2 linked regions of the Caenorhabditis elegans genome follow. The protein of the gene in region 2 interacts with the protein of the main gene of each other region in a pairwise test. Each region holds a gene or a part of one and is shown on either strand. Other genes may lie near its edges. The genes, in order: jac-1 and let-607.

The links.
Region 1: the proteins of let-607 (region 2) and jac-1 interact in a two-hybrid assay, tested with the Caenorhabditis elegans proteins (one study listed by BioGRID).

What each region holds. Positions count from the first base shown.
Region 1 is NC_003282.8:16,022,960-16,030,589, forward strand, and holds the start of jac-1 (Fibronectin type-III domain-containing protein), read right to left. Parts: upstream 3,889-7,630; coding exon 3,734-3,888; intron 3,595-3,733; exon of another isoform or gene 3,570-3,594; intron 3,474-3,569; exon of another isoform or gene 3,453-3,473; intron 3,430-3,452; exon of another isoform or gene 3,409-3,429; intron 3,197-3,408; exon of another isoform or gene 3,176-3,196; intron 3,031-3,175; exon of another isoform or gene 3,010-3,030; intron 2,848-3,009; exon of another isoform or gene 2,821-2,847; intron 2,670-2,820; exon of another isoform or gene 2,649-2,669; intron 2,612-2,648; exon of another isoform or gene 2,591-2,611; intron 2,463-2,590; exon of another isoform or gene 2,439-2,462; intron 2,093-2,438; exon of another isoform or gene 2,072-2,092; intron 1,809-2,071; exon of another isoform or gene 1,785-1,808; intron 1,636-1,784; exon of another isoform or gene 1,615-1,635; intron 1,604-1,614; exon of another isoform or gene 1,578-1,603; intron 937-1,577; exon of another isoform or gene 913-936; intron 821-912; exon of another isoform or gene 800-820; intron 639-799; exon of another isoform or gene 618-638; intron 400-617; exon of another isoform or gene 379-399; intron 302-378; exon of another isoform or gene 277-301; intron 1-276. UniProt on the Caenorhabditis elegans protein: May act as a positive modulator of hmr-1 function during epidermal morphogenesis. Required for proper localization of other junctional components, such as pac-1.
Region 2 is NC_003279.8:6,570,378-6,578,007, forward strand, and holds the start of let-607 (CREB-H transcription factor homolog let-607), read left to right. Parts: upstream 1-3,626; 5' UTR 3,627-3,701; intron 3,702-6,897; exon of another isoform or gene 6,898-7,099; intron 7,100-7,630. Other genes in the region: ipgm-1 (2,3-bisphosphoglycerate-independent phosphoglycerate mutase), read left to right, coding at 1-51, 99-204, 252-399, 601-727, 999-1,433, 1,477-1,824, 1,943-2,053. UniProt on the Caenorhabditis elegans protein: Probable transcription factor, required during migration of the gonadal distal tip cells (DTC). Probably regulates cell adhesion of DTCs via modulation of expression of genes involved in integrin-mediated adhesion, including tln-1, src-1, and integrin pat-2.

The sequences.
Region 1 (7,630 bases), on a different chromosome or scaffold from region 2:
AATTTAATGAAACTATAAACTTTTTGGTTCAAATTAGATACATAACGTATCAGTTCAAATTTTGAAAAAAAAAATTTTTTTTCATCATAGCAATTCGTACTGATAAATATTATAAAGCGGGAAAATTTTGGGAAGCGACTTTTAGTTGGGAAAGCTTTAAAAGTATCACTGTTCAGGCAACTGTGCCTGCGTCGTACCTACCGAATGCCGATTGGGTTGCACTTTAGCTAGGACATTTTACATTAACAAAAACAATCGGCCACCAAATTTTATAAAAATTCAAACCATCGAACTTACACAATTTTGCTCACATTTCCCAGAAGAAATTATAAACTTCTAGAAACTGCATAAGTTTTTATCAAGTTTTATGTTTCTTATTCACATCAGCAAGGTACTATATTGACTAAAATTCAATGCTCACGTTTAGATACTTATTTGAAACTGCAATTTTTTTTTTCAAAAAAAAACTGTCAAATTTCATTGAAAACACCTTTCTGTAACAATCTGTAATTTTTTCAATTTAAGAAAAACAGCTATTAATAGTTTTCGAAAAAGTTCAAATAAATTGATAATTAATTATTTGAAAATTTCAGATTGAATGCAAATCTATTTGTCACAAGTTATCCAGTATATGAACATTAAATTTTTGAAAAAAAAAAACAAATTATATGTTTCGTTTGAAACAGTACTTGGCAGTTTTTTGTTATTTTTAAAATAAATCAGCAGTGAACTGAAATTTTAAAAAATTCACTGACAGCCTAAAACAGAGAAATAATTTCAGATTAACAGCTTATTTTGTCCGCTGGAATGATTTTTCCCACTAATATTTGAAACATTTTCGAAAATATATGATCTATTTGAAACAATGTTAAGAAGAAAAATTGTTATGTGAAATATCTAAAAATAGTATTTAGAGAAATTTTAGACAAAATAACAGTTAACTAAAAAACTTGAAGAAAATTCAACAACATCTTGAAACAGTTTTTTTTTCGAATATTCATAGTTAAAACTGAAAAAAACAGGATTTTACACAATTTTTTCTTTTTTTTTTAGAATTCATCTTTCTGTTGAATTTTAGCAAAAAAAACTGTATTTAAAATCAATTTTATGTAGAGAACGTCGTTTACAAAACTACATGCTCAAAGAAACATCTAAAGCAGTGGAAAAAAAGTGTCTCCCATTCTTCAGAAAATCTCTCCACAGTAAAAGAACAAAAAGTCATCGGAAATGAGAACGGCGAACGCAATTTATTCATTTGTTCGTCCCCTCTCTTCATCGAGGACATTCTCTCACTCACACCTTTTTAACCTTCTGTCTCACTCTCTATTTCTCCACTCTCTCTACACACTTTGGCAGAGTGCCAACGTGCGGGAAGAGAGTGTGAGACGCAGAGTGGAGAGAGGGAAATGACATATTGTTTTAGATGGTCTCTTGTTTGCCGTGGAGAAATGGACCGTTTGAGACAGGGAAGGGAAGGGTATTTTCGATTACTCACACCTTGCACATCCTTGCATTTCCAGTGACGTCATCGGGAACCAATTGTCAAGTTTTTAAAAATTGCTGTTTTACTGTTTCATTTTATCCTTATCAATTGTGCAATAAAATAACAGCTAATCAGAAACATTTTCTCAAAGTTTTGAAACAGTAATTTTAATTTAAAAATTGAAATTTCTTGAAGTTTTAAAAGCAAATTTATGAATTTTCACCGTTTAATTATTTTGAAATATTAAAAAATTTTCAGGCAAGGATTCCATGTATATTATGAAACTTATATGGGTCAAATTTATTTCAAAGGTTAAGTAACAATAATATGAGTTTAACTTGCAAGTCGTTAAAAAACATATTGAAATAGTTTTTTTTGCCAAAATAAAGTGGCCTCGATAAAACTTTCATTAAGCAAACATTTTTTTTGCAAATTTTGAAGAAAATTAACTTGGAATACACTTAAATAAAAACTGCTATTAAAACATTCAAATGTTCAATTTATTCTTATTTATGGTAGGCTGGTTACATTAAAAAATTTTTAACTTGGTTTTGCAGTTTCAGTTGCATATACATTGTCAAACAAAAATTAGATTTAACTATTTTTGGATCTGATAACCAAAAATGTTCGGAAAAAAGTATAAACCCTTGAAACCGAAACTATTTTTTTCAATTTCTAAAGTTTTGCCGCAACTCAAAAGTTGCAATAAATGACCACTAGCGTCGTCGTTCCAATCCAATGATATACCAATAAAACATAGCCGAAACGAATATTAATGACAATAATAAACATTTTGTAGACCTGGCTGAGAGATAGTGTGGGATTTGGAGAGACGGAAGACACAACACTAATCCGATGCAAAAACGGAAAAAATAGGACGGACTGTTTGTATTTGGCGGCGGTTAGGGTTTTGAAACGGCTTTTTTGGAGGGAATTAAAGAGAGGTGAGATGGGAATATCGGATGAATTAATGGCACTATCTTTAATCAATTTAAGTAGTTTTATCTAAACAATTTGAAACAGTAGAAATTTATTTTTCGCAGTCGAGAATTTTAGAATACCGACTTTATGCAGAATTAGGTTGCTTTTAGAGAAATTATCAACTTTCAAAATATATCTGGTTTCCGACTGCCTTTTTATTTTCGAGAACTAATATGTTAAGCAATAGAAACAGTCGGAAAAAAGTTTCCAAAATTTTTTCCTTGACAAACTCCGATTTTCTATTTTTTAACGAAATATTTTACTACTTTTCAGAAAGAAAATTTTGAAATAGGCAACTTTTAACCAGTAATTTGTTTTACAAAAAGTGGTGGAACAACGGTCAAAAAGTGGTTGATTTCTCTGCGTTTTGTTCAAGAGCGAGAATGTCACTCAATTCAGAGCAGTTTTATCTTAAGGTGTAAAAACAGTAGAAAAAAGTTGATACCAAATTGTAGAACAAAACACTTTCTGTATTATTGCTTTGAATATTTTGGATTTTCATAAATATTTTAAAGAGAAGATCGTAAGCTATGCAGTACTACTAGAAAGGACAGGCACTTAAATCAATATTTAATGGAAAATTAAAGGTTTTATTTGGGAAACTAGAAAAAGTAAAAATAAGTGTTAGATTTTTTAGCTAAAAGCCGAGATTTGCTGTTGTTATGCAGAATTAGTTCGTTTTTGAAAAAATACACTACTTTCGTTTCAGCTTGTCAACGAGACCCTATGAGACTGCCCTTCTATTTTGGAGCAGTTATATCTTAAGAACTAGAAACAGTTTTTTTTTTAATTTTTAAACTTAATTTCTAGTTTCGGAATTTTAACTATTTTTTTAATACGCAATCAGTTATTTCTTTTGTTTTTTTTTAATTTTAAGAGTATCAATTTGAATGTGTGAGATTATTCAGAGAAAAAAATCGAGATCATATATAATAAAAACTTATCTGTTTTTCTTTGATGTCAAAAAGAGCTTAGATATTTTCAGTGATATCTAAGGAACTTGAAACTTTAGAACATTTTGTTGGCTGAAAATTTAATTTTCTTCAAATAAATATGTTCTATGCCCAATTTTTAAGTTAGTTTTTGATCAATTTTTCATTTCTGGTTTTGAAGTTCGATTTCAAAAATAAGTGCTTTTCTATTTCCTTGTACTACTTCTCAAGAACCAGAAACTGCAAAACTTTTTTTTTCAATTTCAAAATTAATTCAAACTTTGAGATCTCTTTCAAACCCCTCCCAAAAATAAAAATTCCAAAAAAAAAAACTAACCTAACTAGCGTATTAATCTGTTCCGAAGTGTACACCTCCTTCTTTCGCATCGTCCTTTTAGCGGTATCCGACATAGCTCCCCACTCGGAGCCATCCGCCTCGGTTCCCTCCTCTGGTATGGGCTCCATTTCTTGCATCCACCCCGAGGAGATCATCTGTAAAATGTTGGGATTTTGAGGAGGAATTATTGATTATTTAAAAAGTGGACGGAGAGTTGAGAGAAAATGTTAACAATGAGACATCAGATATGGTTTTATAACAGTGCTTATGAGTACTATGTGAAAAAGTGAATTTTTTTCAAAATTTTTTTTTAAAACAAAATTTCACCTATTCACATTTTCGATTTATTTTGCAAAAATTTCACGAACAATTACGTGATCTAGTTCCGAATAGAAAAAATAACATTTTGATATGCATTCAGGAATAATTGTAAATTTTAGTATTCTATGGAGAATTCTGTTAAAACCTTGAATTAGCAGTTTTAATAGAAATCTCAAAATTAATTATGACAATTTTAATCAATTTTTGAGTGAAGTGAGAATTTTCATACGAAAAATATATATTTACTGCATCGTAGTACAATTAGTTTTATTATAAAATTAGCTTTTTTTGTGAACATTCTGAAACAGTACTTGTCAGTAGAGTAGAGAACAAAACAGACCGATTTTTGAATAATTCTTGAAACGGCCAGTTTTCTCAAAATCGAAGCGTTTTTCAATTGAAAACAAAACGATTTAAGACATTTCTGAAACGGTGAAATTTGTTTTTTCGAAAATGCAAAAAACTCCACAATTTTTTCCAGAAATCAACGCGTATTCCGGATTTCTAGCAACAAAAAACGTTATGCGACGAAGATAATACATTTTCCTCTTAAGAAATTAACTTTTCAGCAGTTGTAGAAATTTTTTTGAAAAATAATGTTTCAAGTTATCCATTTATTATCGTAAAATTTGCTTCTACATTGAGTACAGCTCACATTCAAAAATTGGTAATTCTTTAAAACTTTCATTGAGAAACTTTCTAACAATCAAAAATTCCTAAATTAATTGAAAAATTTTGAAAACGAATTTGACGATTTTCTGCACAATTTCGGAATTTTCGTAGAAAAATTTCAAAAAAAAGCTTTTTTTAAAAAATATCATTTTTTGAAAAAAAAACCGTAAATTATGAAGAACTGTTAGTAAACCGAGTAATATTACAAAAATGCAGATGAAATTTTGGGAAAAGTCAAACATTTTCATCCAAAAGTCATTTTTTTCAAATTTTTAATAATAATTTTAATTATTCTGTAAGAATTCAACGTAATATGCCACGTGGAAGAAAGTTTAGGATGGAAACAAATCTAATTACTCAAGTAAACACCATACTGCAAGTTAAAAAATTTATTTGTTTATATGTTACTTTTGAAACGGCAAATTTTTTTTCCAAAATTGTCTTTTTTTTAATAGCGAGATTCATGGAAAATATAAAAATGCTCCAAAACTTCTATTTTCGAAAAGAACAGTAAAACCAAAAAAAGCCAAACCAAAAATATCATAATTATTAATCAAAGCACCCGTCTCCCATCGGAGGTGGTAGACAATTGGTGGGTGCAAATAAATTTTTTTTGAGCAAGATTGATGAGCCGCGATTTGGAGGGAGCCGCTGAGGATCCCAGTGGGAAAAGTGTAAGAGAAGGCACTTTTTGGTGGGAAATTTGAAAAAAATTTAGGATTAAAATTGTTTCTGTTTCAAAATGTTTTCAAAGTTAAAGACAAAGTTAATGTGAAGTTTTATCTCAAAATGTTCATTTTAAGCGAGGTTTTGTTTTTAAAATGTTTGCTGTCGAAATGGCTATGCAAATTTTAAATCAAACTCATCAGCTCCTGCCGATTAGGTTTCTTTTCTTCGGTTGTTACATAACCCTACAGTAATCCCTAAAATATTGTAAATAGCGTTTTAGGACTTCTCCCAGCTAAGAGACGCAGACAACAACAGAACCTCGATCGATGTCGGCTGCGTTTTTTTTTCAGAAAAATTTCACTTTTTCATATTCATCATGTTTTCAAAACTTGTAATGATGAGAATTGTTGGCCTTCGAACGGAACAAGATATCGCAGCTGCGTCTCTCAATCACCAGTACTGATAGTATTACTGTAGGTAGTACTGTAGGGGTACGGCAAAACAGGTGTTAGAAGAAATTTCCTAAAGTCTCTTTAGCTGCAGTTAAAAACTAGCAGAAACTACTTAGAAACAGTTAAAACCATAAAATTTGACTTTTCTGGTTCAATCGGAATTAGTTAGAAAAAATTTGTAGCACTGTTTCATGTCATTTTCAAAGATTTACTACAGTTATTAAAAAAAAAGAAAACTAACGAGTTTCAACAATCGGAATCAGATATATAAGGCTTGTAGAGAAATTGAGAAATTGAGAAACAGTAGAGAAATTGAAACAATCTTTGAAAAAAAAAACAAATTTTGACTGTTTCAGTATGTTCATAAGTTGGTTAACACAAATGACAATGTAATCTGATGATTTTTCTATATTGAAACTGTTTAAAAACAAACAAATTTGACTATTTCAATATGCTCATAATTTCTAGAACAAATATTGTTAAACATTCGGAATGGGTTCAAGTCAGCAAAATTTTTTTGGAAACATCAGAGAGGATTCGTGGTGAGCCCTTGTATTTCTAAAAAAAACTGAATTTTTAGTAAAAATTGCGAAATAAGAATTTAGTTTGAACTGTTTCACAATGTCTTTAACTTCTGAAAATTTTTAAAAATAGTTCCGTCCATGTTTATCACAAATTCAAAGAGAATACTTAAAACATATTTTGAAGAGTATTTTTTTCTAAATAAAAGTATCAATTGAACCATTCCACTGTTTTTCACGATTTTCTCAAAAAAAAAGTCCACTGTTTCAATGTCTGCATAATGGCGGGAATACAACTTTTTAAATATTGAGTTTTAGATAAGTTTGCCACAAAACAAATCTGAAAATAGGCTTCAGTTGTAATATGTGGTTAGATTCTGTAAAAAACATAACAAATATCTGTTTTCACGCGCAACTATTTAGGCCAGCGCGTAGGCCGTTTGACAGGCACGCATGCCTGAAAGTGTGCCTGCTTACAGCAAAATATCATTCCAATAAAACTGCGTATAAAGTGTAAAAAAACGAAATTTTTAAAACTACAAAAAATTACTGTTTCAAAAAGTTAGTATAAAAATTTACGACAAGCGGAGTGATTTGTTTTGTCGCTTTAGGTTCAATTCGTCTATAAAACTTTTGAAAAATGCTGAGCAACTTTGTTTTGCTTTGGAAACAATTTTTCCACAAATTTTCATGAAAATCGTCCAAAAAAGCCAAAAAACTCCCCATTCCTACTTTGGAAATCTACTGACGCATGCACTAATCTGGGATTCACCTACCCTATAATTTCCGCCATTTCGATGGTAATCACTCATATTTTTTAAAATTTCGAATATAGATTCGGATGACAATTTCAATTGAAATCAAACATTTTCCCACATTACACAGAGAAATAGAGAGATAGACGAAAAAATGAGAGAAAAAATGTTCCGTTTTTTGTTGTTGTTCGAGGCGTGCACCTGCGGTGCAGGTGGTGTTGCATTCGGTGGGAAATGTGAGAAAAATGAAATTTTTAACTTTTTCAGAGAGCTGTGAAATTAAAAAACAATTCAAGTAATTTGTGAAGCGGAGAAAAAATGGCAAAAATCATATAAATAATAAACTTTTTAAAAATTGTACATTTTTATCAATCATTTGAAACAGTGGAATTTTTTGAAACTTTTTCAAAATGAATTATACCGTCCTATATATTTCAATGAGCTTTCTGCCAAATTAACCAATAATGACTCGAAATCAGAGTTGTTCTCTGAAGTTACAATGAAAAG
Region 2 (7,630 bases):
ATCTATCAAGACATTGTTCGTATTAATCTGGCAGTCAAGAACAACAAATTTGTATGCTTCCAATATTATTTCAGAATATTATATTTCGTAAATTTTAGGTGACTAATGAGAGCTTGGTGGATGCTTGCGATCGTGCTAAAAACGGAAATGGACGTCTTCATCTGGCCGGACTTGTTTCTGACGGAGGTGTTCATTCTCATATTGGTAATATTCATTTATTTATTTTCAATTTATGATTTTTCTCATTTCAGATCACATGTTTGCTTTGGTTAAGGCCATCAAAGAGCTCGGAGTTCCAGAACTTTACCTTCATTTCTACGGAGATGGTCGTGATACTTCTCCAAACAGTGGAGTTGGATTCCTTGAACAAACCCTCGAGTTCTTGGAGAAAACTACTGGGTTAGAATAATGTGATAATTTATGGGGTTATTCAAGTAGTGTCGGAAAATTAAAAAGTGTAGAAAAATTACGCCACAACTGTATTCAAGTATATAAAAACATGTATTTAAATACATTTGTGACGTCACAAATATATTTAAATACATTTCGCTACATTACTTGAATAACCCCATTAGGAAACATGTTTAAAAATATTTTCAGATATGGAAAACTAGCTACTGTAGTTGGCCGCTACTATGCTATGGATCGCGATAACAGATGGGAGCGTATCAATGTTGCATACGAGGCAATGATTGGAGGTGTTGGAGAGACTTCCGATGAGGCTGGGGTATGATTTTAGCGTATAAACTGATTAACAATTCAAAAGACGAAGAATGAACAGTTTTGGATTTCGTTTAATTATAATTTTCTAGGTATCAAAAATCATTTACTAAATATAAAGTAGTTTTCTTCCGTACAATGTATGATATACCAAGATGCAAACTTTTCACTTTAAATCAACAAAAATTCAAATTCATTTCAATTAAAAATGTTTCCGAGAGAAATTCGAATTCTAATTTCAGCAAGTTTAAATAATATCTAAAATTATCATTTTCCAGGTTGTTGAAGTTGTTCGCAAGCGTTACGCTGCTGATGAAACAGACGAATTCTTGAAGCCAATCATTCTTCAAGGAGAGAAAGGACGTGTTCAAAATGACGATACAATCATCTTCTTCGACTACCGTGCTGATCGTATGCGTGAGATTTCTGCAGCAATGGGAATGGATCGTTACAAGGATTGCAATTCGAAGTTAGCTCATCCATCAAATCTTCAAGTATATGGAATGACTCAATACAAAGCCGAGTTCCCATTCAAATCGCTGTTCCCGCCAGCATCGAACAAAAATGTATTGGCTGAGTGGCTCGCCGAGCAAAAAGTTTCGCAATTTCATTGTGCGGAAACCGAAAAATACGCTCACGTTACATTTTTCTTCAATGGAGGACTTGAAAAACAATTTGAGGGAGAAGAAAGGTGTTTAGTGCCCAGTCCAAAGGTAATACTTTGATGATATAACTTCGAAAATTGAATATTTCCAGGTCGCAACTTACGATCTTCAACCAGAAATGTCTGCGGCCGGCGTTGCTGACAAAATGATTGAACAACTCGAGGCTGGAACTCATCCATTCATTATGTGCAACTTTGCTCCACCAGATATGGTCGGGCATACGGGAGTCTATGAAGCTGCTGTCAAGGCCTGTGAAGCTACTGATATCGCAATCGGAAGAATCTATGAAGCAACTCAAAAGCACGGATACTCACTTATGGTTACTGCTGATCACGGAAATGCTGAAAAGATGAAGGCTCCAGATGGTGGAAAACACACTGCTCACACATGTTACCGTGTTCCACTCACTTTGAGCCATCCAGGATTCAAATTTGTCGATGTGAGTTTTTGTCAAACGTTTGAAATTTTTATTTAAAAAAAAACAGAAACCCATATGTTAAATGAAAATATTAATTTACAAACGGGTGTAAATAGCTATTCACTTCACACGTTTACAGCCAGCCGACCGTCATCCGGCCCTTTGTGATGTTGCTCCAACAGTTCTCGCTATTATGGGACTCCCTCAACCAGCTGAAATGACTGGGGTCTCGATTGTTCAGAAGATCTAGATTCAAGTACAATGATTTCAATATTCAAGTTCTATGAACTATATTTTCTACAGTATTCTTTTGTCCAATTTCTTCCCAATTACCTACTATTCAATTCTGTTTATAGTCTGAAAATTTTTATGTATTTAGATCCTTAAATTAGTATGAATAAAATTATATTGCACTGAGAAAATATTTCATTCATTACTATGACCTGTCGGATGACTCATATTCTATTTGCTATTTATGTTTTTTTTCTTGCTCCGGAATGAGCTCTGTAGTCAGTTGCTCAACATTTTTGAAGGGTCAATTGATGGTGACATTTGGCCAATAGACACACTGAGCACATCTGCGGAGCACTCTGACGGCTCGCAAAAGATTGATTTGATCGGACTTTTACTGGGACGAACTGAGAAAAACCATTGGTTTTCTCTGCGTCTCTTAATTTCTCAAACTCTCTTGATTTAGTATCTTATCGTTTCTTCTAATGCTCTCTCTGTGTGACATTTTTCATTATAGTTTCTCGAAAATTCTTTGGAGAAAATGTTGCTAGCATTTTGATGTCACTTTCGTTTGAAAACTCCAGAAACCTCGCCTTTTCCTTATCGTTTTTTAGCATCACTCAGTTAAAATGACCTATTTGTGCCACGAACCCAGTTTTATTGAGAAAAATCGAAATTACTAGGTGAAATTCTATTTTTCGTTGACTTTGAATACGTGTTTGATCGAATTTTGATGAAGCAAAAAACATGAAAATTACATGACCTTGCCCTAGATACGTGGCTACATGGCCTGACCTTTTAATTAACAGAAAATTTTAGGATTTTTTTAGGATTTAATCAGCAGATCATAGATTTTAAAGAATTACATCGTTTTTTAAATCTTCAGAATATTTTTCTGGTTTTTAAGTAAATGTACATTTTATAAACTTTACAAAGTGTAAATAAGAAAAATTATTTTGTTGAGAAAAAAATCGAGCATACAAAAATTGAGACCCGAAGAACTCGGGGGATGTCCTATTGGGGGGATTACCAACTCGGGGGATTGGCCCCGCCCACAGAACCGTGGCTTGCAATACGCCCATTTCTGCAACTGCCGCACGGTTTTAAAACTGTATTTTTCTCAATAGAGCGAGAATTAACAAGAAAAAATAATTTTAAAACCGTGCGGCAGTTGCAAAAATGGGCGTATTGCAAGCCACGGTTCTGTGGGCGGGGCCAATCCCCCGAGTTGGTAATCCCCCAATAGGACATCCCCCGAGTTCTTCGGGTCTCCAAAAATTCAGAAAACTATATGGAAAAGGAAAAAAGGCAATTGGACATAATAATTTTTATATCCTTCACAATTTTCTGAAACTCAGAGATTTATTCAAATGATTTTTTGTTGGTGTTTTCAGTGTCCACTTTGAAAAAAATTCCGCAAAAGTTTCCGCAAATTGTTTTTCTCGTGGCGAGACCCATCCGAAAAAATCCGTGCGCCTTTAGAAACGCATTACGGTACTTGTCGAGGCTTCTTTTTCAAATATTTACGTTGAATTTGTGTTTTCTTCGTTATTTTCAGATTAATATAATATTAATCCATTCAAATCTTTCAGAAACTTCCCCAAGCGGTCTTCTCATCTCAAAATTTGCCACGTGGCCACGCTCTCTTCTCCATAAATCTGAAGAAGGTGGGTTTTCAGTTAATGTTTATCTTTTAAAATTATTTAAATTTCCAACAAAAAAAAAACAAACGAAGTGACGTTGTTAATTCAAATGCTCGCGTCATTCCTCCACTAAAGAGTCCAGTATTCAGGACTTTCTCTCTTTTTTCCTCTTCTTCTTCAATTCTAGCTCTGTTTATGGAATAGCCGTTTTTAGCTGCTCTCCCCGTTTCGCTTTCTTTCCATCTTTTCGTTTCCTCAATCCAAATTATATTTTCACTTCCCTTTTCAGCTTCTTTTTCACTGTTTCTTTGCTGCTCGCTTCTGCATTCATTTCCGCCCACATTCAGTGAAAGAAAGCTCTTGACATTTATTTTAGTCAACGGATAGCAGCCAGTTTTGGGCTGAAAATGGATAATTTACACTAAATACTCGATAGCAAAAATTCAAAAAAAATTATGGAATTTCTGTCTTAAAAGGGATTCGTGAATTCTAGAACTATTTCGTATCGATCATAAATTTTATAAATCCCCTAAACTTTCGAATATCTGTACATAAATGTAATCCTTTCCGATTTTGTAAAACCGGTTTCCTGTGGTGAACGACTTGTTATTCTACAAGTTTTCTTAACTTATTCTCGAACCTTCTCCTTTCTTCTTCTTCTTCTCATTTTCCTTTCCGTCATCTTTCCCGCATTGAATAACAAGATCTACATACCGTTAGTGATTCCCTTTTTGTGTAGAAATACAAACGATTTACACGAACAAGGAAGTTTGTACCGAGAGAGAGAGAGGAACTTGGAATGGAAGAGAAACATTATTTCTCTCTTTTCACTTCCTAATAAGAGAATGAATATAATGACCAGAAAGCAGTAGAGAAGAAGCCAGAAGTGTGTGGACAAGCGGACGCGACGAGATTATAATTGATACGGTTTTCGAAGATGAAGTGACAGCGAAAAGAGGATGAAGCCCGGTTTCGGTGCGATAATGATGAGGAAAAAGTGAACGGATTTTGAAGATTTAGGAACTTTTATTTGAGAATATCACTTAAAAATGTTGAAAGATTTTGGAAATTCAGATTTTCTCGTTCCGGGGCCATAACTCGAAAAATTATGAAATATTGTGCGTTCTTTGTTGAAAAATTAATTTAGCCTTTCAATAGCTCAATTATGAAACATACATATATCTTCAATTTTAAAAACTATCCTCTATTTTCATTGAAATCCGATAGGAATGTCAGTAAATAAAATATCAGTTGAATAAAGCACGTGCTCATTAGACCGAAATGGCTCATCTCATTTTCCATCTCCATAGATAATCAAAACATTGTATTTGTTTGGTTTGAAGATTAATTCTTATTTATAAATATGATTTGAAAATAGGAGAAAATTTTATGTTTTTGAAGTGTGCTCACAACCGGAAAATCAAAAAAATTGTAATGACAACTAGGGTACGGTATCTATGAGTAATTTCCACGATTACCTCTTTGAAAGTATATGAAGCCAGTTAGTATTGTTGTTTTTCGAAAAAAATTTGCTGTTTCCCAGATTCCGTATAGTTTTTTTTCTTGTCACTCGTTTACATAATTACATCCACTCCTTTGGCTTCTTCTGCTTCAAGTTTCCATTCGTTTTTTGACATGTCTCAGTTTGAAGTATGAATTCTTTTTTCAATTGTTATTTATCCCGTTCTTCGTGTTGGCATTTCTTTTCTGAACATAACTGGAACTAGAGCGTGGATAGACTCACAATCTATTTAGATGATGTCCATAAAACACTTGGGATCTTTAACTTACACAAAATATATGTGCGTCAAAATATGAAAAAATAATAATATTTCCGGCTGATTCTCCGTTTTCCAATATTCCCGTCAATGGCCTGCGTTCTGTTCTGATTTTTTTCATGGCCAACAATAAAATATTTATTTTTCACTTTCCTCTCCATCTTTCTTTGCAATATAGTTATTCCTGTGGTTCTTTTCACTTTTTTCATAGAAAGTTCTGCGATGAAATTGGACGGTTTTGTTAGCTAAATTTCAATATTCTAGATCCACCAAAATACTCTATTTGCATATAATAAGTAGGATGTACGTACCTGTATAAATATCATTGCTCTCTTTCACAAAACCCGACAGTATCCATGAGTCATTTGCGTCTCTGTTATGAATGTATGGTATATGTATGAATTACGCACTATTCCTCTTTTTTCTGTGTTCTCTTGTCCGGCTAGCTGAAGTAGTAATAGTAGTACTTGACCAACAGTGAAAAGTGTGATCGACGAACGAATACCGTCATATTCTGGTTTTGTAGAGGTTTTTGGGAAATAGTGTTGGACGAAAACTTTCAATACATCCAAATTCGCATTGAATTGTCATTACTTCAATCGGTTTTTTCTTTTAATATTTTTGCCTGGAGTACCGTTTTTTAGCGTCAAGGCTATAATCTAGTTTTCATGCTGCTATATATATTTTTAAAACTATTTTGTACGTGGCCTTCGATAATTTCGGCTCATCTTTCACTGGTTCTCATGGCAGTTTATATTATTTGCGCGATCTGTTTGTGGGATTAGCGCACCTAAACGGATAACCCAAAGGTAATGTCGGCATGTCATCCGTCTCAATCAAAAGAAGCAAAAGAGATGGCGCAATAACCTTTCCGAGATTTGATTGGAGAAAAACGAATACAGTTTATCGCATTGCGGACGTCATGTCTCCGGGTAACCTGCTGGGTAATTGGAGGCGGCAAGTGTTCTTGAAATCTCAATTGATCTAGAGGGGATCAAAATGAAATTCTAGAGTAATCAAACAGATATGAGAACCACTTTATTACCATTCTTATTTTTTAGCGTTCTCTTTGCGGCCCACGTTAGATTAGTTGATAGAATATCTCACGAAAAGCCGATTCGAATTGGAACTTTGATTTCCTAGATGTCACCTAAACGACAGCAGTGTTCCTAATTCACACCCACCTTCTCAAAAGTCAAGACATTATGTCCTTGGAACATGGAACCTTAGACAAGTCCTTGGAAGTCTGAAGAAAACCACTTGTTTTTCTTATTGGTCCATCCCTATCTGACTGCTCAAGGTCTTTCTGGTACTTTACTACCGAATGTTACGTGCATCATTCTCCATACAACACTTGCTGGTCCCTTACTATTGTAAATACCATCCCTCAAATGTCTCTACGCCTCTAACATTCTCTTGCACTCTAGGCACTGTCTGTATGGTTGACCTAGTGTGTGAGATGATCCCGAAGGGAAAGACCTCTTGCGCTGACCGAATGGGCGGCCCCCGAGACTTCCTTTAGTTAAAGGAAGGTTGACTCGCTTTCTCTCTTCTCTCTATGTTTGTCCCTCTCGGAATTTGTCTCTCCGGCGACGACCTGACCACCCGGGGCTATTCACAAAATCGCACCTCGTTTCTTGAACAGTTAATGTCGTTTGATTTATTGAATTATATGAAGCTCGTTGACTATTTCCATAAGAGTATTCTGAAATTTCCTTATTTTAAACTCCAGTTCATTGTTGTTTCTTGTTCTCTTTCTAACTATATGCGTGTTCAACTCTGGATATTCTGACCAATATGTTTATCCACTTCAAACTTCCTTGTCATTTTTAGCAAGCCATGAAATTTATCTAGAAGCTTCCGCCTCCAATTTTTTTTGGCAATTTCATCGAAATCTCTATCCGGTTCTTCGTTCTTCTCCTTCGTCTATAAATTCATTATACTTCCTCCCAGACTTTTTTGCAATTAAAAAAAAACCACGAAGAAGCTAAAGCTTCTGCCCTCTATAGTCACCCGCAGGCCTTACACACGTTGTTGACGACACTTGGCATTGAAACAAAATCATGATAAAAAGTGGCTCTTGTCTTCTAATTGATAATGCTCTTCTCCTCACCAAATACTCCCACCACACAGTCTGTTTGTACTATCAAATGAGAGTTTCAGGGCTTGCTGTTC